Caenorhabditis elegans: one gene and its partners. The protein of the gene in region 4 interacts with the protein of the main gene of each other region in a pairwise test. Each region holds a gene or a part of one and is shown on either strand. Other genes may lie near its edges. The genes, in order: glh-4, glh-2, glh-3 and kgb-1.

The links.
Region 1: the proteins of kgb-1 (region 4) and glh-4 interact in a two-hybrid assay, tested with the Caenorhabditis elegans proteins (one study listed by BioGRID).
Region 2: the proteins of kgb-1 (region 4) and glh-2 interact in a two-hybrid assay, tested with the Caenorhabditis elegans proteins (one study listed by BioGRID).
Region 3: the proteins of kgb-1 (region 4) and glh-3 interact in a two-hybrid assay, tested with the Caenorhabditis elegans proteins (one study listed by BioGRID).

Annotation. Positions count from the first base shown.
Region 1 is NC_003279.8:3,725,497-3,731,718, reverse strand, and holds glh-4 (ATP-dependent RNA helicase glh-4), read right to left. Parts: upstream 4,693-6,222; 5' UTR 4,659-4,692; coding exon 4,654-4,658; intron 4,606-4,653; coding exon 3,959-4,605; intron 3,882-3,958; coding exon 2,868-3,881; intron 2,822-2,867; coding exon 2,429-2,821; intron 2,382-2,428; coding exon 2,079-2,381; intron 2,034-2,078; coding exon 1,949-2,033; intron 1,903-1,948; coding exon 1,561-1,902; intron 1,513-1,560; coding exon 1,209-1,512; intron 1,160-1,208; coding exon 782-1,159; 3' UTR 540-781; downstream 1-539. Other genes in the region: T12F5.2 (RING-type domain-containing protein), read right to left, coding at 249-348. UniProt on the Caenorhabditis elegans protein: Probable ATP-binding RNA helicase. May act redundantly with the P-granule component glh-1 to regulate the formation of the granular structure of P-granules in embryos. May protect somatic cells from excessive apoptosis during normal development.
Region 2 is NC_003279.8:6,512,290-6,518,047, reverse strand, and holds glh-2 (ATP-dependent RNA helicase glh-2), read right to left. Parts: upstream 4,121-5,758; 5' UTR 4,028-4,120; coding exon 3,994-4,027; intron 3,948-3,993; coding exon 3,210-3,947; intron 3,167-3,209; coding exon 3,092-3,166; intron 3,047-3,091; coding exon 2,780-3,046; intron 2,737-2,779; coding exon 2,662-2,736; intron 2,618-2,661; coding exon 1,373-2,617; intron 1,327-1,372; coding exon 1,223-1,326; intron 1,177-1,222; coding exon 995-1,176; intron 946-994; coding exon 741-945; 3' UTR 541-740; downstream 1-540. Other genes in the region: che-1 (C2H2-type domain-containing protein), read left to right, coding at 293-473; C55B7.11 (Protein OSCP1), read left to right, coding at 4,400-4,686, 4,730-4,841, 4,890-5,430. UniProt on the Caenorhabditis elegans protein: Probable ATP-binding RNA helicase.
Region 3 is NC_003279.8:5,791,785-5,796,764, forward strand, and holds glh-3 (ATP-dependent RNA helicase glh-3), read right to left. Parts: upstream 3,331-4,980; 5' UTR 3,258-3,330; coding exon 3,173-3,257; intron 3,126-3,172; coding exon 2,772-3,125; intron 2,661-2,771; coding exon 1,428-2,660; intron 1,383-1,427; coding exon 1,279-1,382; intron 1,233-1,278; coding exon 1,051-1,232; intron 1,002-1,050; coding exon 797-1,001; 3' UTR 537-796; downstream 1-536. Other genes in the region: mtk-1 (Protein kinase domain-containing protein), read right to left, coding at 3,780-3,863, 3,906-4,061, 4,138-4,766, 4,814-4,937. UniProt on the Caenorhabditis elegans protein: Probable ATP-binding RNA helicase.
Region 4 is NC_003282.8:405,098-411,837, forward strand, and holds kgb-1 (GLH-binding kinase 1), read right to left. Parts: upstream 4,937-6,740; 5' UTR 4,860-4,936; intron 4,776-4,859; exon of another isoform or gene 4,665-4,775; intron 3,800-4,664; 5' UTR 3,790-3,799; coding exon 3,724-3,789; intron 3,681-3,723; coding exon 3,589-3,680; intron 2,939-3,588; coding exon 2,809-2,938; intron 2,766-2,808; coding exon 2,650-2,765; intron 1,942-2,649; coding exon 1,857-1,941; intron 1,808-1,856; coding exon 1,636-1,807; intron 1,467-1,635; coding exon 1,206-1,466; intron 1,160-1,205; coding exon 1,053-1,159; intron 995-1,052; coding exon 851-994; 3' UTR 524-850; downstream 1-523. UniProt on the Caenorhabditis elegans protein: Mitogen-activated protein kinase which is an essential component of the JNK pathway composed of mlk-1, mek-1 and kgb-1.

The DNA of each region.
Region 1 (6,222 bases), on a different chromosome or scaffold from region 4:
CCGTTTAATTGAGAGAACGCGGCTCTGGTGTTTGTCGATTTACGATGTACTTGTCAGGATTTATTTGTATGAATGATTTTACAGCGTCGGCTTAAATTCATGATTTTTGGTGGTTTTCCTTGATTCTTTCTGGTTTTTTACTAATCTTTTTATACAAAAACGAGTGGCCACAAATGAGAACCTTCGGAATATGAGAATTTGCATCTGAAAATGGGAAATATTCTCAGATAGAAGAAAACAAAAATTACCGAATTCTTCCATACAAATCGAACACGTTGGCTTCATATTAAACTTCACATCTCGAATAATATCTACATTTTGATAGAATGAAGCTGGCACCAAAGACATGGTTTATTTCGGATTTTGCCTAAAAAAGATTGTTAACTCAATAGAATTAAAAGAAAAATGATTGATACATTGGGAGTCGAGAGAATGTTCTGCGTTTATTCATATTTTATGACTCATATCTGTCAATATTGCATTAGTCAAATAATTGTCTTATGATTTTGTGTAACATTCATTAAATGAAACTCTTCTAATAAAGTCAATAGTTCATTACAATAAAAAAAGTTCAGATATATTTACTGAAAGAACGGGAGAAAAATGATAAAACTATAACTAAAACATTGAAATTAACATAAACTTATTCACTGTAACTTCAGGCTTATAAAAATTGGCGAATGAATCGCAGGGGCCTAACAAAACAAATACCAGGAATAAAAATCGTCATAGAGCAACGAAATACATTTAAACATTAAATTATAAAACTGTGATAGGTGCTTCACCACTCCTGTTCCTGCTCATTCCAATCGTCGCCACCTTCTTCCTGATGTCCAGCTCCTTCGGTGAGCCACTCTGGAACCTCTTTCTTGGCTTCGTTCAAGATACTGACGAGGCATGGAATAATGTCCGTGTCGTTCTCCACGTCAACGAATGCAGTCGACGTTCCGGTGAATCCAGCTCTTCCAGTACGTCCGATACGGTTGACATACTCATCAAAGCCATTTTTATCCGGCATATCGTAGTTGACGACATGATCGAGCCCGGCAATATTCAATCCACGAGCACACACATTTGAAGCTACCATACACTGGTATTTACCACGACGGAAATCATCCAATGTACGATCACGCTGTTCTTGATTTTGGTAGCTATGCATCTGAAAATGAAAAATTGTTTTTGCTCATATAATTCTAAATTTTAATTACCGAAATAGTGCTAACGCCAGCGCTCGAGATGAGAGCCGCAAGAGTGTCACAGAACTTCACCGAGTTCACGAAGATCAGCGTCTTTTGTTTCTCGATGGGTGCGTCCGGCAAGAGAGTCACAGTGTTTTCATCAATTCCGAGAAGCTTGTAAATCGCGTCTCGTTTCTCGGTTCGAGGCACAGGAAGAATCTTCTGGTCGATCTTTTCATTAGCTGTTCCGAACTTGTCGACTTGCAGCATAGTGTAACCCTCTTTGACGAACTTTGGCAGGTCGTCGGATTGAAGATCTTCAGAGAAGGATGCACTGAAAACACTTTATTTTGAAAAATTCCTTGAAAATACTAGCCAATACCTAAACAGCACAGTTTGCTGAGTACGCTCCCCCGGCGATCCGATAATCTTGCTCACTTCCTCTCCAAAGTCGTTGCTGTCGACCATACGATCAGCTTCATCCAGTACGATGTATTTCATTTTTGAAAGAGATACTTCTCCGGCATTCACGAAATCCTGCAGTCTTCCCATAGTGGCAACCAAAATGTTGAGCTGACTGAAACTACGCAGATGTTGCACGTTGGCATTGCGAGAGTAGCCTCCGAAGGCCAATCCACACTTCAATCCCGTTTCATATGTCAGCTGGCGAGCAGTAGTGAACGTTTGGTTGACCAATTCACGAGTGGGAGCAACAATGAGAAGTCTAAAAATAAAGATACAGTGATTATTTTTTCATCGGAATTTCTTACCTTGGAGAAGGTTTCTCATCAGTGACGTCTCGATCTTTCTCAAATTCTTCCATCAGCTTGATGACGAATGGTATCAAGAAAGCAACTGAAATACAATTTTTAAAAATGGAACGGAAGATATCTTCCTTACGTGTTTTTCCACTTCCAGTGTGTGCACATGCAACAACATCGTTGCCATGCATGATCGGGAAGAACGACGCTCTTTGAATCGGTGTTGGTCTGTTCATCTTCATGCGCTTCAAGTTATCATGGAGGTCTTGTGGGAGAATTTTGAAACCATCGAATGATGCCATGTCAGGAATTTCAACCTTTCCAGTGGATGCCACAACCTTCTGATCGAAGTCGATTTTATCATCGTTATTGACTGCATCTTCAAACATTTTATCGTCTGGCGTGAAGACAAAATCATACGATTCGAGGAAGTTTCCTTGCACTGAAATAAATTATATATTTTATACATAAGGTATCGAGCTAACTTACAATCTTTTGGTCTGGTCGGACACTCGTAACCCCAATGGCCTTCTTCAGCGCAACGACGACATGGCTCTGTTGGCTCCATGCGCACTCTCTCGTTCTGACAATCTTTTGCGAAATGGCCTTCTTGTCCACAGTTGCGGCAGGGGCCTCGAGGCACTTTTGGTTGATCACAATCGACAGCAAAATGACCTTCTATTCCACAGTTGCGGCAGGGACCACGAGGAACTCTAGGCTGATCACAGTCGGAAGCAAAGTGACCAAGTTGCTCACAATTTCGGCAAGGAAAACGTGGGACTTTTGGCTTATCACATTCTTTCGAAATATGACCTTCTTCGCCGCAATTATGGCATCCTCTTGGTCGCTCTCCGCCATCCCAATTGCCACGCTGATTGTCGCCTATAAAATTTGATTTCAGATTAGTCATGGGATAAAAAAAACTGACTGGGCTCCCCAAACGTGTTTCCATTGCCGAAGTTTGAACTGGAACCAAAGCCAGCGGCTCCGAAAGCTGATTTGACAGCTCCACCTCCTGTATTGAAGCTTCCAAGGCCGGATTTTGAAGGTGCATCAGTGTCGCCAAATCCTTGATCTTGTGGACCGCCAAAGCCAGAGTCTCGCTTTCCAAAACTGTTACTCGAATCTCCTCCGAATCCGTTTTTCGTTGCTCCACCAAATCCCTTAGATTGTTGGCCAAAAGCAGATTCATTTGATGAAGAAGCTCCAAATCCAGCCGGGGGGAGTTTTCCTCCGAAACCGGTTGTTTCCGTTGGTAATCCCGAGTTCTCTGCAGTGCTTGCTCTATGACCACCGAATCCAGCTTTTAAACCGCTTCCGAATCCTGTACTGGAATCTCCACCGAATCCTGGCTTCGATGCGCCACCAAATCCTGCAGTTTGTTGACCGGAAGAAGAATCTGTTGTTGATGGAGCACCAAATCCAGTCGAGGTCGGCTTTCCTCCGAAACCAGAGCCAAAAGTTCCTCCAGATGTAGATGTTTCTTTGGTTGGAAATCCAGAGCTCTCCGTGGCGCCCGGTTTTTGACCACCGATTCCAGACGAGGATGTTCCACCGAATCCAGCTTTAGAACCACTTCCAAACGATGAACTGGAATCTCCTCCGAATCCGTTTTTCGTTGCTCCACCAAAACCCTTAGATTGTTGGCCAAAAGCAGATTCATTTGATGAAGAAGCTCCAAATCCAGCCGAGGGGAGTTTTCCTCCGAAACCGGTTGTTTCCGTTGGTAATCCAGAGTTCTCCGCAGCGCCTGCTCCATGACCACCGAATCCAGCTTTTAAACCACTTCCGAATCCTGTACTGGAATCTCCTCCGAATCCTGGCTGGGATGTAGATGTTTCTTTGGTTGGAAATCCAGAGCTCTCCGTGGCGCCCGCTTTCTGACCACCGAATCCAGACGAGGATGATCCACCGAATCCCATTTTTGCAGCACCTCCAAATCCTGAAAATACGAACGTCAAGAGACATTTCTTTAAAAAAAAGAGATGATAAAAACAAGACTTCTCATAATATCCTTACCTGAAACCACTGCTGGTTGTTGTCCGAAAGAAGACGGCTTGCTCGTAGGAACTTCACTTGCACCGACTCCAGTGGTTTGATTCTCTAATCCAACTTTCTGGTTTGTCAGCATAGATCCGTTTCCGAATCCTGAACTTGCTGCCCCGCCGAATCCTTTATCTTGTTGATCAAAATTATTTGCAGACGAGAACGCTCCACCAGACACATGTTTCGGTTCTCCGCCAAATCCAGTTGTTTTATGCCCGAGAGATGGCTTGTTGACAGGAATAACGTTAGCACCAAATGAAGACGGCGCTCCTCCGACTCCACCGAATCCATGTTTCGCTGCTCCACCAAATCCGTTACCTTGCTGGTCGAACGAAGTCTTGTTTGCAGCAGCAGCAGCAGCGTTTCCACCGAACCCAGACAACGATGGTGCTCCACCGAATTCAGTTTTTGGTGTTGTTTGACTTCCGAAAGTCTTGCTAGTGGTAATCGGATCAATTCCAAATCCAGCTGATGGCTCATCGGAGTTTCTTTCCGGCTCCGTCTTGATAGCAGTACTTTGGGGAGCTCTTGGTGGTTCCACTGGCGGCGGAACGTTCTTTTCCGGAACATCTTCCGCGACTTTCACTTCGGCCTCCGCGCCCCATCCGTCATCGGAAAAACTAAAAAAAATAAGAATTTGCAAATGATCTAGTTTGTTAAATGGATACCTCATCGTTGATACGATACAGAGTCGTGTTTGATTATACCTGAAAATCAAAATTTTTGCAGAACGAACAGAAAAATAGCACGAGTTTAGAGGATAAGTTGTCGTTTCAACGAGAAAAGTTGAAAATGCATCTCAAAACTATTTTTTTTCTTAATAATGATAAAAAATCGCTGAATTTCAAATATAAAATTGCAAAAAAACAAGAGTTTCAGTCAAAGGCCTAAAATAAAATGATAATCAAAATTTCGCGCCAGAAGACCAAAATGAAAATGGATACGGTAGGAGATATTGTATCTGCTTGCACATCAAACTACGATAATTTACGGTAATCCAGAAACTTTCAGGCACAGAATTTTACTAAAATTCATGAAACTCCTGAGAAAATCGACAATTCGAACTTTTTTGAAAAAAAAAACAAGCAAAAAAAATTCAGAACTGGTTACAAGTTGGGCGGTGCATTTCACGTGTTCATGATGTTGTAAATGTAGCGGTGGGAAGGTCACGGCGTGGCGGTTGGCGGGAGTTCACAGGTGATTCGCGGTTTTTAAATTACTTATGAAATGTAGTTCGCGCGCTTCTACGAGAGGCACCAGCGATATAGTAAAATACTTGCAAAATCGCAAATATTGTGCAAATTGCGATCACCGAGAGTCGCGATTACCAAAATACTGCTAAAATGTTAATGGTCCCGCAGAGAAATTCGCGATTTGCAAAATGCATCTAAAATATTGGAGGCCATAAGTATTTTACAAACGGCGAATCACCTGTGTTGGCTTTTTTTCTTTTTTTTATGCATCCGTTCGAGTTGCATAATTGAAATGATTTTGGAATAATCGGTTTTTGTTTGAAATTAATGATTTACAGATCAGAGCTTTCAGAGAATTCCGTACTTGAAAAATTTACCTGAAAGCTCCCATAGTTTTGCTCACTTTCTAGATGTTTTTTGTAATTTTGGTTCACAATCAAGCGGTTTCAGTCATTTTCAAACCCATTTTTTCCAGACTTTAATTCCTTACAATTAGTTCCGGACAGTGGCGTTGGTAGTGGTTGAAAACTCTGAAAACGTCGGAATAGTTCTAAAAGCTACTGAAAATAGTTAAGACGCGTTTGGAAAGTGTAGAAAACTTTTGAACTATTCATTTTCTGCAAACTTCATAACACTGCTGGAAAAATTATGAAAATGTAAAAAAGTATACATAACAACTAGAAATTTTCGGAGATTTTGAGAAAATTCTGTGCGTTGTGAAGTTCGGGAGAAGTCTGGAAAATATGAGAATTTCTGTAAAATTTGAACAAAAATTAGTGTCGAGCTAGCAAAAAATTCAAACTGAAAATTTTGATTAACAGTCAAAAAGTGGCAATTTCTGCGTTTTTGTGACTTTTTGAAAAAACGATAGCGATTTTTTTCTTCAAAAAGTGGCTATGATAATTAATATCTAAAAAAAAATGAGTGGGCCATAAAATTCAAAAGAAGAACAATTTTTTTGATCGACAAATTCAAAAAAAAAGTGGCAAAAACTGAGTAATTGCCACTTTTCTGACTGTCAAAAAAATTATTTAAAAATTAAAA
Region 2 (5,758 bases), on a different chromosome or scaffold from region 4:
ATGTGCTTGGTTTTCTGCATCAAATATAACAAATGCCTAAAGTTTGGCACCTGTAGCGACCATTATGACTGAGATCGTGGCGAGACACACTCGGAAAAACCGCATTTGTCTTTAAAGTGAAGTGTCAAAATTTTGGAGAATTTACGATATTTGTGATATCCTCCAATTTCTTATAATAATGTCAATAACGGCAAATAAAAAATATATAAATTGCAGGTTACCATAAGAAAAAAAATTACATTTTTTCTCGAATAGTAGAAACATATTGCAAGACTATTTTTCATTATTTCAGAACACACACTGGAGAGAGACCGTATCCATGTGCTCAATGTGAGAAGGCATTCACCGACAGCTCAACTCTTACAAAACATCTGAGAACCCATACTGGACATAAACCTTATGTTTGCTCAATTTGTATGATGAAATTCACACAGAGTGGGAACTTGCATAGGCACATGAAAACTCATAAATAGTTTTTCCTATTATGGAAGTAATGTTTCTAAATGAATATTGCCATTTTCTGCAAAATATTTTACAATCCACAAGTCTCGAACAAATTTAATCAATGTCTTGTTTTGATACAATTTAACAAATTCACTGTGGAGAGGATTTACTATAAAAACGTTTTACACCAGCAAAAAATCAATAGAACATTTACATGATAAGGAGAATATATAAAAAGGGGGCATTATAATTTACTGATACAATATGGACAACATTTGAAGGATATGCAGATACATCTACCAGCAATCTTCATCTTGCTTTTGAGTTGGAACGCTGCTTTCGAATCCAAAACTAGCTCCGAAATTTCCCCCTGAAGCTCCTTGCATCCACTCTGGAACCAGTTGATCCGCGTCAGAGAGAACGCGAACAAGTTCGGACAGAAGATTACAATCTTCAGAGATGAAACTGGTGGCTCTTCCAGCGTTTCCAACTCGACCCGTTCTAAAAAAAACATGGCTAGCACATGAACATTAGAAATATCTGATTTAACCTTCCAATACGATGAATGTAGTCATCAATGTTGTCTGGCATGTCATAGTTGATGACATGATCCACTCCTTTGATATCAAGTCCACGTTCGGCAACCGCAGTAGCAATAAGAACAGGTTTCGATCCATTTCGGAATTGTCTCAAAGCCTCTGAACGCTCTCTCTGCTCACGGGCACCGTGGATCTAAATTGGAAAACAAAATTAATAATGGTTAAACTATTGTACCAACCGTGATTGCTGGTACTTGAGCCGATGATAAAATGGAGGCCAACGTATCAGCCATTGCTCTTTGCGAGACAAAAACGATAGTCTTCTTAGTGTACACTTCAGAATCTGAAAATTGGGATATATATAAACGATAAAAAAAACAGAATCACACTTTTTTCTGTCGTGTAACTGTCGATATCAATTCCTAGAATTTCCAGAAGTTTGTCCTTCTTTTCGCTTCTATCGCACTTTTCAAACTCCTGAAGGACGCACTTGTTGGCGGCCCCAATTTTGTCGATTGCAAGCATTATGTAGCCTTCCTTCAGATGATTTCGAGCTGCTTCCTGTACAGAATCGGGGAAAGTAGCACTGAACATGAGTGTCTGACGATTTTCTTTCTTCGGCATGCTCTCATAATTGACAATTGTATCGATGTCAGTTCCGAATCCCATAGCATCGATCATACGATCAGCCTCGTCAAGAACAAAGAAGCGGCATTTGTCAAGCTTGATGGTACCCTCTTCACAGAAGTGCTTGATTCTTCCGACAGTTCCGACAATGATCGTGGCTCCTTTTTCGATCTGACCCTTATTATAACCCACTGCCAATCCTCCGTAAACTGGTCTGATCTCCATCATTGTTTGATAAGCAAACTTTCTTCCCTCGTTGTAAATTTGATCAGTGAGTTCACGAGTCGGAGTCAGGATGATGCAACGGGGATAGCAACCTCCTTCTCCGGCAGTGTTCAGATCATTTTCATCAATCAGACGAGCCATGATTGGCAGAAGGAATGCAGCGGTTTTTCCTGAACCAGTTTGAGCACAAGCCATGATATCATGTCCTTGATGAATAAGTGGAAGAGTATATTGTTGAATTGGAGTGGTCTTAGTGTAGCCTGCATGTGCGACATTCTTCTTCATTGTTTCGCCCAGATTAGCTTCGGAGAACGTCTTACAAGTCTTAACTCCAACGGGTTTTTTATCAGACGTGATTTTAACTTCAGCATCAAAAAACTTGTTGAACATGAGACCTTCCGAAATTTTCTGCATGTTAAAAACTTCTTCCATGTTGTCTTCGACTGGAACGTATGTCGCCTTCGGTCCTTCTCCTTCAGCACCTTCCCTTGGCTTGGCTGGATTGGGACACTCATTCGAGCGATGACCTTGCTCGCCACAATTGAAACATCCACGTGGTGGCTCCGGACATTCTGCAGAGCGATGCCCCTCGCCTTTACAGTTGAAGCATTTCATCGGACCACGTTCCTCGTTATTACCGAAGCCTTCAGCATTTCCGCCACCGAATCCACCATCATTTCCTCCTCCGAAACCAGAGGTGAATCCATTGCGGCCTTCACGCGGTTTCCGCTCTTCCGGACAATCGCGAGAGTTGTGACCGGGCTGTTGACAATTGTAGCACACTAAAAATGAAAAATTACGTCTAAAAATTATTTTAAACTAAAACCTCTGGGTTCCCTTTCCTTTTTCGGCTCTGGACAGTCATTCGATCGATGTCCTGGCTGCTGACAATTGAAACAATCTATAAGCAACGTGAAGAGATAGATTTCAAGCAGCAAACATACTATTATTCCTTTCGCCTCGATCTTGTCCCCCACCGCCGCTTCCGAATCCATTCGAGTTACCACCAAAACCTCCCGAACCGAAGCCAGATTCACCATTGTTACCACTACCAAATCCGTTAGTTAATCCACTGTCGAATCCAGTTCCACCACCATTTCCTCCTCCGAAACCAGAGCTTCCACCGGTGAATCCATTTCGGCCTTCACGCGGTTTCCGCTCTTCTGGACAATCGCGAGAGTTGTGACCAGGCTGCTGGCAATTGTAACACACTAAAAATAAAACAGATTACGTCTAAAAACATTTTAAGCTAAAACCTCTGGGTTCCCTTTCCTTTTTCGGCTCTGGACAGTCATTCGATCGATGTCCTGGCTGCTGGCAATTGAAACAATCTAAAAGCAACGTGAAGATATAGATTTCAAGTAGCAAACATACTATTATTCCTTTCGCCTCGATCTTGTCCCCCACCACCACTTCCGAATCCATTCGAGTTACCTCCTGAACCGAAGCCACTTCCACCAGAGTTGCCTCCACCGAAACCTCCTGATTTTCCTCCACCAAACCCAGATTCATGATTGTTGCCACTACCAAATCCATTGGTCAATCCGCTACCAAAACCAGATCCACTGTTGCTATTACCGCCAAATCCAGTTCCACCAGCTTTTCCACTGCCGAATCCAGTTCCACCAGCTTTTCCACTGCCGAATCCAGTTCCACCAGCATTTCCACTGCCGAATCCAGTTCCACCAGCATTTCCACTGCCGAATCCAGTTCCACCAGCATTTCCACTGCCCAATCCAGTTCCACCAGCATTTCCACTGCCGAATCCAGTTCCACCAGCATTTCCACCGCCGAATCCAGTTCCACCAGCATTTCCGCTGCCGAACCCAGTTCCACCAGCATTTCCACTGCCGAATCCAGTTCCACCAGCATTTCCACTGCCGAATCCAGTTCCACCAGCATTTCCACTGCCGAATCCAGTTCCACCAGCATTTCCATTGCCGAATCTGGGTCCAACGTTGTTATTACCGCCGAATCCAGATCCACCATTGTTGCTACTACCAAATCCCGTCCCGCCTGCATTTCCACTTCCAAAACCACCAGTGTTACCGCTACCGAATCCCGATCCTCCGCCAAACCCTGATGGATTGCTTCCAAAACTGATGGTTTTCGCTACAATAAATCAGCATTAAATATTTCATTAAAATTTTATAAAAACCTGCAGCAGTATTATTATCCCAATCGTCAGACATCTTCGAACTTCCAGGAAAAAGTACAAGTTTGGCGTTTGCAAACCAAAAAATTTTAAATGAATGGAAACTCAGAAACTCGCGCGCAAAAGATTTGAAATTTGCCGCGCGGGAGTACTGTAGAGGACGAACGTGGCGAGACCCTTGTCCTATGCTGCTCGTATGAGCCTTTTAAAAACTCAATTTGGGATTTTCTGAATACAATTTCAGTATCCTTGCATCGCACTTTTTGCCATACCAGTAATACTTTGTGGAACCTTCAGAATTTTTCTTTCTGAAAATAGTTTCCCTAATTAATCTGGAGACCTTTTTAAACTTAAACGTTCGTTTATCTTTTGGCATATTTAATTTACAATTTAATTAATTTTTTCAGAAATGAATATTAGTGTACTGGACGCAATTCATGCTCTCAACGAACTTTCAATGCAAGACTATTTGCCTCGTCCGCGAGGAGGAGGAGTTCTTCTCAGCCACATAACTCAGTATTATCAAAGCAAGGATGGAATCGAACCCCTCGCGAAAAAAATTATCGAGTCACTGAGAAGCCATACAATGAAGGACGACGATATGGCACACATTTCATGCCAATCAATGATTGCAATGGTCGCAGAACCGTTGCCTATGGAAGAAAAATCATGGATTATTCAACTTCTGATTCAATGGTAATAACTCTGAATTTGGCCAAATTTAAACAATATTCTTAAGGGTTCATATCACGAATACTGCCAACGACGTTTTAGCTTGTATTCTTCAATCCCTTCGGTCATTCAACGTTCATTTTAACGAAGTATACGCGATTCGGACGGCGATTTTCAACGTAAATTTGTTTGAACATCAAATTTTGCCTTCAATTAAAAAATTGCAGTATGTCACACAACCAGAGCTTAACACTGAAACGTTGATTGAGATCTTACCGGACGGAAAACTCATTCTGAACCCACGTGACGCTTCAAAGTATGCTGAAAAACCTTGCGATGAACATATTTTCATTCTCAAACAGCTTCAAAAACTGGTTTCATACAAGAAATTCACGTACTTCACGGCTCTGATACAATATGATTTTGCTCGCTGTAACTCTGAAACTCGCTGCAGCCAGATTTCTAGACCAATATCAAACTACAAGTCTTCTGGATTTGATATGGAAAATCAAAGTTTATTCTCTGTTGGTTTTGGAAAGTATTCCTTCTCGGATGGTGTTTCTCCTGCTGAGGATTTGATGACTAACGAGCATAATTCGGCATTGGAAATGTATCAAAGTAGTATGAAAGCCCTTGAAAATTTCAAGTGCAATGAAAAATTGGTTGGAAAACAATGGGTAGTAACAACGATTGAAGAAGATAGTGATGATGAAGTCGATGAGGAAGAACAATGGAACCTCTCAGCTACCGAAGCAACATCCGATTCTGGTCAGTTTATTTTAAAAATTTTCATAAGATTGAAATAGATTATATCGATCAAACTTTATATTTTTAGGGTATCATGAAAAATGAACAATTTTCGATTGTTCGATTTTCCTGAAAAATAAAAAAATTTAGAAAGTTAACAAAGAAAAATCAGTTTCAAAAAATTATTGTTTTGTTGATGGGAAAAATCATAAGAAAACATAATTTTCTTCTAAAAAGAAGATAAACTCTAAAAATGAAATATTTTTCGAAATATCGGAAAAGCGAAAAAATTTCGATTTTCCTGAAAAACGAAAAATCGGAAAATTTTTTAAGAAAATGTTTAATAATC
Region 3 (4,980 bases), on a different chromosome or scaffold from region 4:
AGCGAAAGTAATTATGCTCAGGCGAAAGTTATTAACTACAGGTTCTTCAAACTTGTTTTTAACGAAAACATTTTCAAACTCAAATTGGAAGAAAGAATTTTCCCTAAAACAACACGGACAGAATAAAAAACTGACAAAACATTTCTAAAAACTGATTTTAAAATTTTGGGATTTTCGAAATTAAAGCATTTTGAAATTTGAATTTGCTTAGTGTATGCACACAAAACATGATGAACGACGCGATGTTACACAGAACATGTGCTACAGTAATTCTTTCGTAAAATTCAAATTGACTTAATTTAATTTTTATATACATAAGATTTTAATATTATAAGATGAATGAGATTTAATTATTTGAATTGATTGAATTTAAATATTAAAATTCATTAAAAAACACGTTCTCAGCGTTCACTATTATCAAATTTATGAGTCACGAATAAACAGATGACCAGTTATTATCGAGTGGGCATCGTGCCAAGACAACTGAGAAGTTAAAAAAAACTGATAGTGAGTCCATCTGAAAAGATTTTGAAAGCTTTAATTAAAACAAAAATTTATCAGATTTACGAGACATTGATTGAATACTGATCTGAATTTATAAACATTCCAACTATTGAAAACAAAAATGAACATATAAACCTAACAACAAAAAATATATTTTAAAAATTCGGGAAATTTAAAGTTGAAATGCCAAGACGATCAGATATTTTGGGGAATAAAAGGGGGCTGAACATTATCAGAAAAATAATACGTCAAGATTGATATTTTGCAGAAATTAAATTTAGAATACATTGCTTCACCAAGCTTCCTCCGGTTCCTCGGTATCAATAGATTTTTCGAATTTATTAGGATTGGAGGTCCCTCCTGCAGCTTCCTTCATCCAGCTTGGCACAACTTGTTCGGCGTCAGCTAGAGTTCGCACCAACTGCGGCAGAATTTGAACATCGTCTGCCAATGATATGAAGCTAGTTGCTCTTCCCGAGTTTCCGACTCGTCCAGTTCTGAAAAACGGTAATTACAAAAAATAAAACATTTCAGGAAATAACCAACCGGCCAATTCGATGGATATAATCATCAATGTTATTTGGCATGTCGTAGTTAATAACATGATCTACACCTTTAATGTCAAGACCACGCTCAACAACAGCCGTGGCGATGAGCACTGGCTTAGCTCCACTTCGGAACAATTTCAAAGCAGCCGACCGTTCTTTTTGCTCGCGAGCACCGTGAATCTATAAAAAAGAAGAATGGAAATACACTACTAATATACAAACGAACTGTAATCGCTGGAACTTGGGCTGCCGACATGATACTGGCCAGAGTGTCTGCCATTTTTTGTTGAGCAACGAATACAATCGTTTTCTTCACAAAGACATCAGAATCTAAAAACATATATGACGATATTGAAAAGTGAAAGTAAAACAAACTTTTCTCGGTGGTGTAGGTGTCAATATCGATACCGAGAAGCTTCAAAAGCTTATCCACTTTTGATGTTCTATCGCACAACTCGAACTCTTGAATGACACATTTGTTGGCGGCTCCAATTTTATCGATTGTAATCATTGTGTAGTCTTCACGCAACAATTTACGAGCAGCTTCTTGGACGCTGCTGGGAAATGTGGCACTGAACATCATTGTTTGTCGTTTATCATTTTTGGGCATATTCTTATAGTTGATAATTTGCTCAATTTCTGGTCCGAATCCCATTGAATCAATCATTCGATCTGCTTCATCTAGGACCAGGTATCGACACTTATCGAGTTTTATAGCGCCATCTTCACAAAAATGTTTAACACGTCCAATTGTTCCAACAATGATAGTACATCCTTTCATAATCTGGCTCTTATTGTATCCTACATTTATTCCGCCATAGACTGGTTTGATTTCCATAACAGATTGATAGGAAAACTTTCTGCCCTCGTTGTAAATTTGATCAGCAAGCTCTCGAGTTGGTGTAAGAATAATGCATCGTGGATAGCAACCTCCTTCTGCTCCATAATTCAAATCCTTTTCCAAAATTAGACGAGACATAATCGGCAAAAGAAATGCTGCAGTTTTGCCCGATCCAGTCTGAGCACAAGCAAGGATATCTTTGCCATCAGCAACAAGTGGAAGTGTATATTGTTGAATCGGAGTTGTTCGGGTATAACCTGCTCTCTCCACGTTTCTTCTCATACTTTGAGGAATATCGGAATCGGAAAAACTTTTACATGGTTGAATGGTGACCGGCTGTCCACGTGACACAAGTTGAACGCTAGCGTCAAAGAACTTGTCAAAGAAATCTCCAGCGTTAATCTTCAACATGCTAAATACCTCCTCCATCTTGTCCACGACTGGCACATAGGTGACCTTTGTCGGCTCTTGAACTCCGTTTTTCGACCAGCTTGCGCACTCATTTGCACGATGATTCGGATCACCACAATTAGCACATTCACGTTGTGGGGCGGAGCATTCTGTTGCACGATGTCCATACTTCTTGCAATTGAAACATGTATTGCTGATTCCAAAACCTTTTGCTTCAAGGATTGGAGAGGTACCGCAGAATTCATCGCTTCTTTTGTTTCCATAGCTTGAAACACCACCGGAATCTCTGTCACGTTCCTCATCTTTTGCCGAACAGTTTTCAGTTGATACTTGATCATCAGAACGGTGGATGCTCCCTGAAAAAAGTTTGAGAAATTGTCTATTATCTGTATTCGGTACTTAATTTCAAATAATTCTTCATACAAAGACCACACTTTTACCAGATAGTAAATTCCTGCCAAACTTACCTTCATTTTCTTTGACATTCGAGGTTCTCTTGCTTCCACGAGTTACTGCTCGTGATCTAGAATTTAGAGATCTGCCCACGAGAAATCTCGGATTCATTATCCCAGGACATTCCAATTCCGTTGTAGATGGTGATCCATGCAAATTATTATTTGAGTGGAAAACATTATCAACTTTGTCATCGAAGCCAGAAAAAGAGCCCCCAATCTCGCTGCGCACGGCTATACGTTGATCTTCGGAAATTATTGTTGGTTTCGCTTCGAGTTCAGACATCCTACAGCTACGACGAGAAAATACTGATGATTGAACTCCAAAACTGCTGAGACCTCGATCATCTTTTTTAATGCATGAACTCGCTGAAAAATAAATGTTGGGAATTGGTAGTGATATTCAGAAAACCTACATTGTTCTGTAGTATCTACATCAGAAATTGGCTGGTGTCTAGCGAATTTGGTCCGGATACTTGTCTTTGTTGGGCTTTTATCCATTATTCCGTGCCGTTTAACTCTATTTTGACAACCAGAGTTAATCCCCCAGCCAGTATCGGAAGATTTCGTTTACCTGCAAAGAATATTTTGCGCGTAAAGTTGTTTTGTTTCCAAGAAACGATAAATAAGCATATAAATTAGTTTTTAAACACCAAATAAAAATAAACACTTAAGATTTGCAAAATTGTTTAAAAGAATGAAATTTCAAATTTGTTCCGGGGTTGCACAGAGAACAGCACGATTGACGAAAAATTGCACATAACATATTTTACAGTAGCCGGCTCTTTTCACATTCAGAAATTTTGGTCTTATGTCGATTCAAATCTAACAAACTAAACCTCCTGTTGTCGTTGGAAATATTTGTAAAATGAGTATTTATTGGCAATTTAAATTATTCTTATTAACTTTAATACAAAAATACAAAGTGAATTTCAGTTAGGTAGAGGTACATTTTTATCACGAAGATGAGATTACGGGTAGATTATTTTTATTATTAACAAAAAATACAGTATACAAAAACGTCTAGACTAGAAAAAACGAGCTTGGTGACGATTTGTCCTTTGAAGATTGTGATTGATAGTCCGGGATATGATTTTCGTCCTGAAACTTGCAAATTTACTAATTTTTCTATTTATTCTTGATAATTACCGTTATATTAACATTTGCAAACGTAGTTTGAAGAAGTTCCGCAGCTGTAGGCCGATCATTTGGAAGAAATTCAAAGCAATTATCGAAGAATCGTTTAACATCTGGTCTTTTGTCGGCAATATCAGGATAAGTTGGTTTTTGCTTGCGGAAGCAAAGCTGAAAGTTTACTTATTGATGGCAACAATTATTATCTTTAGACTCAACTATCTACATGTGTCTAGAATAAACATACCGCGAAGGCTATTTGATGACGAGTTTGTCCTTCGAATGGAACTTTTCCAGTCATCATATTGACTACGGTAGCTCCAAGTGCCCAAATGTCAACACTTCTACCGTAACCACTATAGCTTCCAGTTGTTTCATCCTTTTCCCCATATGAATAAATTTCTGGTGCCATGAATTGAGGAGTTCCGGCAGTTGTTTGAAACTCTCCGTATACTGTACTTGACTCGACAAGTCGCGAAGAACATCCGAAATCTCCTAATTTGAGTACGGTACACTTATCGAGGAATATGTTCGCTGGCTTTATATCACGATGAATGATTTTATGAGAGTGAAGATACTGTACAGCCCGCAACAAGCTATTCGTATATTGTCGAACCATTTTCAAATCCATTTTTCCGTGACAAATTCGTTCAAGTGTACCCTGTGAGCAATATTCCATGAATATGATGACGTCACTGTCTTCAACTTGAACACCATAATATTTGACAAGATTCTCATGAATTAATTGACGGAAAATGTTGATTTCCGATTCGATTGCTTTATGGTTTTCGCGTTGAATTCGCATGACTTTTGCTGCAATGACACGATGAGAATCAATATCCATTGCACGATGTACAGAACCAAAGCTTCCAGATGCTGAAAAATGATCATTTGATCATCAAATAAAATAGAGTTAAATCTACCAATATGATCAAGAAGTGCCCATTGAAATGGAGCTTTTGTAGTAATCTTTTTGTCTGTGGCAAGAACAAAGTTTCTTCTGTTATCGTCTGTAATAACTTTCCCGATTTGCAGGTTGTCGTAATCCTGAAAAAATAAAAGTTTAGAATAACCATGCAAGTAGCAAAAC
Region 4 (6,740 bases):
CAAACTTACAAAATATCAAGATTCCAAAAAAATATTTTCCATCCGCTTTTCTTAATTCTAGAATAGAATACTAAAAGAATCATTTGAAAACATTTCAAGGCGTCTCTGTTTCTCTTTTTGTCCAAATGTCCATATACTTTATTTCCCATCTTTATATCAAAAATCTTTTACTACCCAAAAGTCGATTTTCTGTTGTCCAGCCCACTTTTCAGTCTTCAAACCTCATCTTTTACTGAATGTTCAATTTTTGTGAAATAAATGTACTTATTCAAGACCACCATTGTCCATCTGTGTGATTTAATGTCCGGTCGTTCTGGATTCCCATTTTGGCTTCATTTTGTTTTTGAGAACAAAAATTAAAGCATCGTTTTGAAGAAAAAAAACCTATAGGTCTCCCAGCTAAGTGAGGCGCGGACTTCACGATCGGGTTCCCTGCCGCACTATATATTCGGATACATGCACTGTGATTGACGCTGTGAGGCCGGCGCGGGCGCCGCTGTGGCGACCTCATAGGGGACCTGGTCCCTAAAAAATTAATTTATTGATTTAGAATTTTGAATTTAAACCTGACAATACAATCGAAAAACAATCCCTACTTTATAATGAGATGCAAATTTTGTGGAGCTAAGGTTCAATTTCTTATACTTAAAACAAAACAGTTCCAAAAAATCTGTATTCCAAAATAATTAACATTTAGTGATTATAATCAATATAGAAAATAAGCAGAGAATCACCAGAAAATATGGCCAACTAAGTGACAGAACACAACTGAAAGATAGATTTTTGAAGAAAAAAGTAACACAATTATTTTTGAGAGAAAAAGAAACAATTTTAGGTTTTTTATTATTTATTATCCAGTGAAAATGTCGTGGTCGGCTTGATAGCGTTGCACTTCGTTGAAAATTAGCTCTTTCCATTCAATAAGTGTCTTATCGGCAAAATCAATTTCCTGATCGTATCGATTTTCTGATGCGGGGGCGTTTACCTCATCGTCCTGTAAGATTTGAGATGCATGATTTGATTGTTTTTGTTTAGTGCTAAAATTGTTGTACCTTAAACCACAACTTAACATATGGATGATTCAGTGCATCTTCAACTGAATACCTTTCTTCAGGATTGATTTTCAACATATTGAACAGGAGATCACGAGCCACGTGTGCTGAAAATATGATTTATTTTTCAAAATCCTGTATAGCCTGACTCACGTGTCAAATGGACCCTTGGATTTTCAGTCTCCGGCAGAAAATTGGTATCAGGAACGATTTCACTGAATGCTCGTGCCTGATGACGTGGCAACGATCGAACATACATAGCAGCTGACTGACCCAATTGACTAATGAAATGATCATCTGGTGTTCCCAAAACACTATAAATTTTAGTCCATTGATCAATTCGATCTTTTCCAGGGAAAAGTACGGTATGGTTGATCATTTCAGCAAATATACATCCGACTGACCAAATATCTACTGCAATTATGAATTGAGAGTGTTGTTTGGAAGCGGCCGACACGTTTGGGGTTTTACGCGCACTTTACATGCGGATACGTACGGCGTGAGGCTGTTTGAGGCGGCTCACCGGAGCGCAGATGGAAGTCCAGCCCAAAATTACAAAAATTTTTTTTTTTTTCGAACAAACCTTTTTCCGAATAGGGAAGACCTAATATAACTTCGGGGGCTCTGTAGTATCTTGTCACCACATAATCTGACATTCTCATCGATGTGTCCACATTCTTCTTCCGGGCCAATCCAAAGTCTAAAACTTTTAATACACATCGATCGTTGACGACAATATTCGATGGTTTTAAGTCCTGAAACTTTGAATTTTTCAGAATGTTGTCTATAGTGGTAGATACGTACACGATGAATGACTCCCGAATTGTGAAGATGCTTGATTGCGCACAAACTCTGGTAGACGAAGAATGATAATGTTTTATGGTCCAATCTAATAATTCAGAAAATTTTTTTAGAATCTAATTATGTGTTTATATTCAATATTCAATCATTGAATCATTGAACAATCATGAATAGGAGCTCAAATGTGCAAGTGTTCTAAACTTTTTTAAAAATTCTGATTTTTGGTAGTTAACTAAAATCTTGACCAAAAATTTTCAAAACACGCTGGAATATTTTTTTTATTTTTTTACGCGTGTTCTGGTAGCTAACTGTGCGTGTTTTGATGATGGTTTCGGCACATTTCCAAGTGGGTACTCAAGGTTGGATAAAAATGTATTTCCGACCTTGGGAAACGCGAAAGACGGCAAAATTGAAAGTCTAGCTTTTGCCCTTGTTTCTTTCTTTTTTTAAAAGTTTTTTTTGTTGAAAAGTGTCAGCAATAAACTTATTATTATTGTTGAATATGTTTATTAAACGTGAAATTGAGACAAAAAAGGTTGATATTTTGGAGTCGTTCTGAGTTTATTAGAGCAAAAATGAATCCGCCACTCCTTCTTTAAGATATCGTGCTTTTCCTATTGTTTTATTTTTATTCTTTTGTTCTCAAAATCAATAACAGAAAAATAATATTTTACGTCTATTAGTCTCTAACAAGTCCATCATATACAGTTTAAATTACGTCTAGTATACTAGATATTACTATAAAAATTGGTATTACTGAAAAAAAATCATAAAAATCAGCCACCATGTCTCTTACCTTAATCGATGTATAACCTCGTGCAAATTGTGTGTCATTAATTCCATAACTAGATATACTTCTCGGAACGTTGAAAGTGAAGTGTCCGGTGTAAACGCGTTTAGTAGACGGATTATCTGAAATTTGGAGCATTTTTTCTAGATTCCAACTGAATCTTACATTTGGGTGTTTGATAGTCGTTAGCAGTATAAACTCTCGATATGCTCGCTTTGCGCTCATTGTCATCACAAATGGTTGTTGCATCTTCTTGATTGCCACACGTTGCGTTGTTACTAGGTCATCGGCCATTCTAAATGTAATCAATAAAAATTATGGCTGTTCACTTAACTTAGAAATTCTGTTTGAAGTCATTTGCGCGATAATTTAATTTCAGTCACTTTCATTCTTCTAGAAGATCTTCTTGATTATTGATTTTTTCAAGCTTTTTCAATCTTAGAGGTGGAGCAGCGGGCAATGACGAATAACAATGATCTCGAGACCTCTACCTGTTTTAAAAGTTTTTTGATAGGGCGGTCCGTTTTTTTTCGGGAAGTCATCATTGTGTCAGTGTTTGAAATTACGCAAAACCGAAGAAAAGTTAAAGTGTAAAAATATACAATTGAAAGGCAGTGAGACATTCAAAGATGGAGTACGACCAGAGAAAGGATTCTCTGAAACCAGCCATATGTTTCTAAAATGACTAAAATTCATAGTTCTTTCAAAAAATTTATTTTATCTTTTGGTATTTGAACATTATTGGGGCTATAATTTGCAGTAAAGTGTGAAATGTTTGAAAAAGTAAAAATTATTCGAAAATTTGGCAATCTATCAAATCTTTGATTAACATCTTTGAAGTGTTAATATTTGTTTGTCTATTGAAATTTTTTGTTTACTGCGTTAAAAAATTCGCCCTATTATTTTTCCTTCAATAAAATATTAATGTAATTAGTAAAAACTCACACGACAGTTCCTTGGGCGCCGGCATTCAGAAAACTAAGGTTTACATAACGAGTTGGAATAGTGAAAGTGCTGTCCGCGCCGGCTATCGGGTCCTGAAAATGAATTTGAATGGAGGTAAAGTATCTAGTAACAAACCCTAATTGTAACTTGATGAAATCTAGACGCATCATACTCGTTATGTACCGGCAGATCCACTTCCATCTTATTGTGCCTAAAAAGTTATTAGTTTCAGGGAGAAATACTTAAAATTCAAAAATTAAATATAAACGTTAGTCATTAAATTTCAGCTTTTCTTAAATTTTTAAAAGTATAATTTCAATTTCCAAATAAACGTTTGAAAAAATCTATAAAAATTTCATAATTCTTATCACTTGCAAAAATGTTTCTGATTTTCCTTTCCAACCGGAACTGATAAAAATGCCTTAAAATTGTTGAGTTTCATCAAAACTGAGTCATTTCAACCCACGTAGAAATCAATAAATCTTAAAAACGGAGATTCTAACAGTTTGGAAAATTATTTTCTTTCCAAATATTGACTTTCCATTTCTGGAGTGAAAAAAAATGAGGGAGGGGATATATGTACATATTGTTAGTGAAATACAGTTTTCATTTTTTGAAGTGCAAACTAAACCTGACAATGTTTAAAAAATAGACTAAAAATAGAAAGATATGTAGTTTAATAAATAATCTTTGCAGCTAATCTTTAAATGTTTAATCATAACTTTGGATTTGTAATAAAGAAGTCATTTTTTAACATTTAATGAAATTTCAGCGTTTTTGTTTGGGTTTTTATGTTTTTTAATCGACTCATAAACTCATATTTCATATTTGCATGACGCAAAAAATGTTCACACTTCAAAAATTTGACTTCAGTTGTGAATGATCTTACACTTTTTGCGCTTGGTTTTGAAAGGATGTTCGTATTTAGGAAACAAAAGTCAACACTAATTTCAATGGAAAATTTAAATATTTTAGGTATCAAGTTGACTGGAATGTAACATCCAATAGTGTGTTTCTTTTTTTTAAACCTTTATTATAGAAAAAATACGATCGTACAAAAATAAACAACGACGCAATGACACTCCACCGTTTCTAAACCCCGCCCAAGATTTCATTTGCACTGAAATGTGTCGGCCGCAGTGCAAATGAAATCGTGGGCGGGTCTCAGAAACAGCGGAGTGTCGTTGCGCCGTTGTTTATTTTTGGGCGATCGTATTTTTTCTATAATACTCTAATTACTTTTTTAGTGGGATCACCACCAGGCAGTGTACCTGACTCCCAGATCCGCAGTGCATAGCGCTTGAAGAACGGATCGTCCTTTAATCCTTTAATCCTTTTCTCACGAACTCTACAATAAATACACGGGTTACTCGAATGGTTTATTCTAGCAATAGTTCGAGTTCGGGGTAATTTTGAGGTATTTGCTGTTAATTATTAGTGAAATACATAATACTGCATCGAGATAATTGAAGTCTATTATTCTCAACAAGTAAAATTCAAACTAAAATTGTATTAAAAAAGCAGGGGAAATTTTTTATTTTTACTTAGATTCGAAAACTTGAAGAAAAAAGGCAGTATACCCAGCCTGCCAATTTTTACTTTTACACTTTAAAGACACTTTAGATTTTGTTTTTTTTAAATCATAAATAACCTTTTTAAAAAGTTATAATTAAAAATTAAATAGTACAGGAATGATCTATATACATATATATATATATAAGTTGACAATGCGAAAGAGAGAAATAGTGTAGGTATTAAAAGTTACGTCACTGAGTGAATGTTTGTGTGCGGAAGAGAAGCGATAGGCTGAAGCCAAATAGGAGATGCAGAGAAATAGAGATTTCATCCTTCAGAGAGAGACACACCTAGGATTGAAAATGTGTAGAGAAGTAGAGAATCAGACAGAAAAGAGACACCACTCTGTTTTGGAGAATAGAGTTGCCGTAGAACAAATCGACCGCCTATAATAAAAGCTTTGAAAGTAAATTCTATAAGAAATAAGTTTAATATGTACGTTTTAAGTTTTAAATATCTTTTTCTCAATTATTAACATTTATGACAACTCAAAGCGCTACCCAATTAACTTGGGCCATGAAATCTCGTAGGTGCCTAATCTCCCAAAGTCGTGGGTCCACATTCTGTGTGGTCTTTCCTGTGGGGTTTTTTGGTTGTTCTTTACAATTGTTAAATAATACTTGATTTTGTCTGTTTGTTTCTCTAATTCTTTTCAATCTCTGCATTATTCCTTAGATTTCCCATTTGTTAGTCATCGGAAGTGATAACTCGATGCTAAAATGAAACACAGAGATAGTGAGTTGGATAATTTTAAATTATAAGGTGAAGTAGTGGTTTTTTTGCCATAAATGACAGAATACAGTCCCAATTTACCAAATATAACTGTTAAAAAATCAAAAAATAATAATAAATTTTTTATGATTTTTTCAAAAAGGCCGATTTAAATTTGAATTCTCGCACAAATTAATGGCGTCATTCTCGACATTTTGTGTTTTACGGCCAAACTAATTGGTTTTTCTTTATTCTTACAATTAGTTTTATAATTTGAAACATAATTTTTCAATTTTTCAAACATTTTTCAAACTTGATAATTGCGAAGAAACTTACCGAAACTCTGAAATTGGCTTAATTATTCAAAATTAATCATACATTTTCTTTTAGTCTGAAAAATTGACAGACTGTATTTCAAATTATAAAACAAAGGAAAAATGAAGAAAAACCTATTAATATAGGCTGAAAACGCAAAAGTTTCGAAAATGACGTCACTCATTTGCGCGGGAGTTCAAATTTAATTCAGTCCTTTTTTTTAAATTTTTGTAAAATTAAGAAAAAAATCATTAAAAAATTAGAAAAATTTCATACATTTTCTACATTTTTTAACAGTTATATTTAGTATATTGGGTCTCTATTCTGTCATTTATGGCAAAAAACTTACAGACGCTACTCCACCTTTAAATTTGGAACTTCTATGTATATTCTTTGAACACTTACCCAATAACCACAATCATCTCGTTTTCTTCCGAGAATTGTGAAATATTTTCGTAACAAAAATAATAGAATACTGTTTTTATGAAATTTACTTCTAGAATCCAATTTTTGGATGAAGGAGACAATTTTGTAAAGATGCACACAAATCG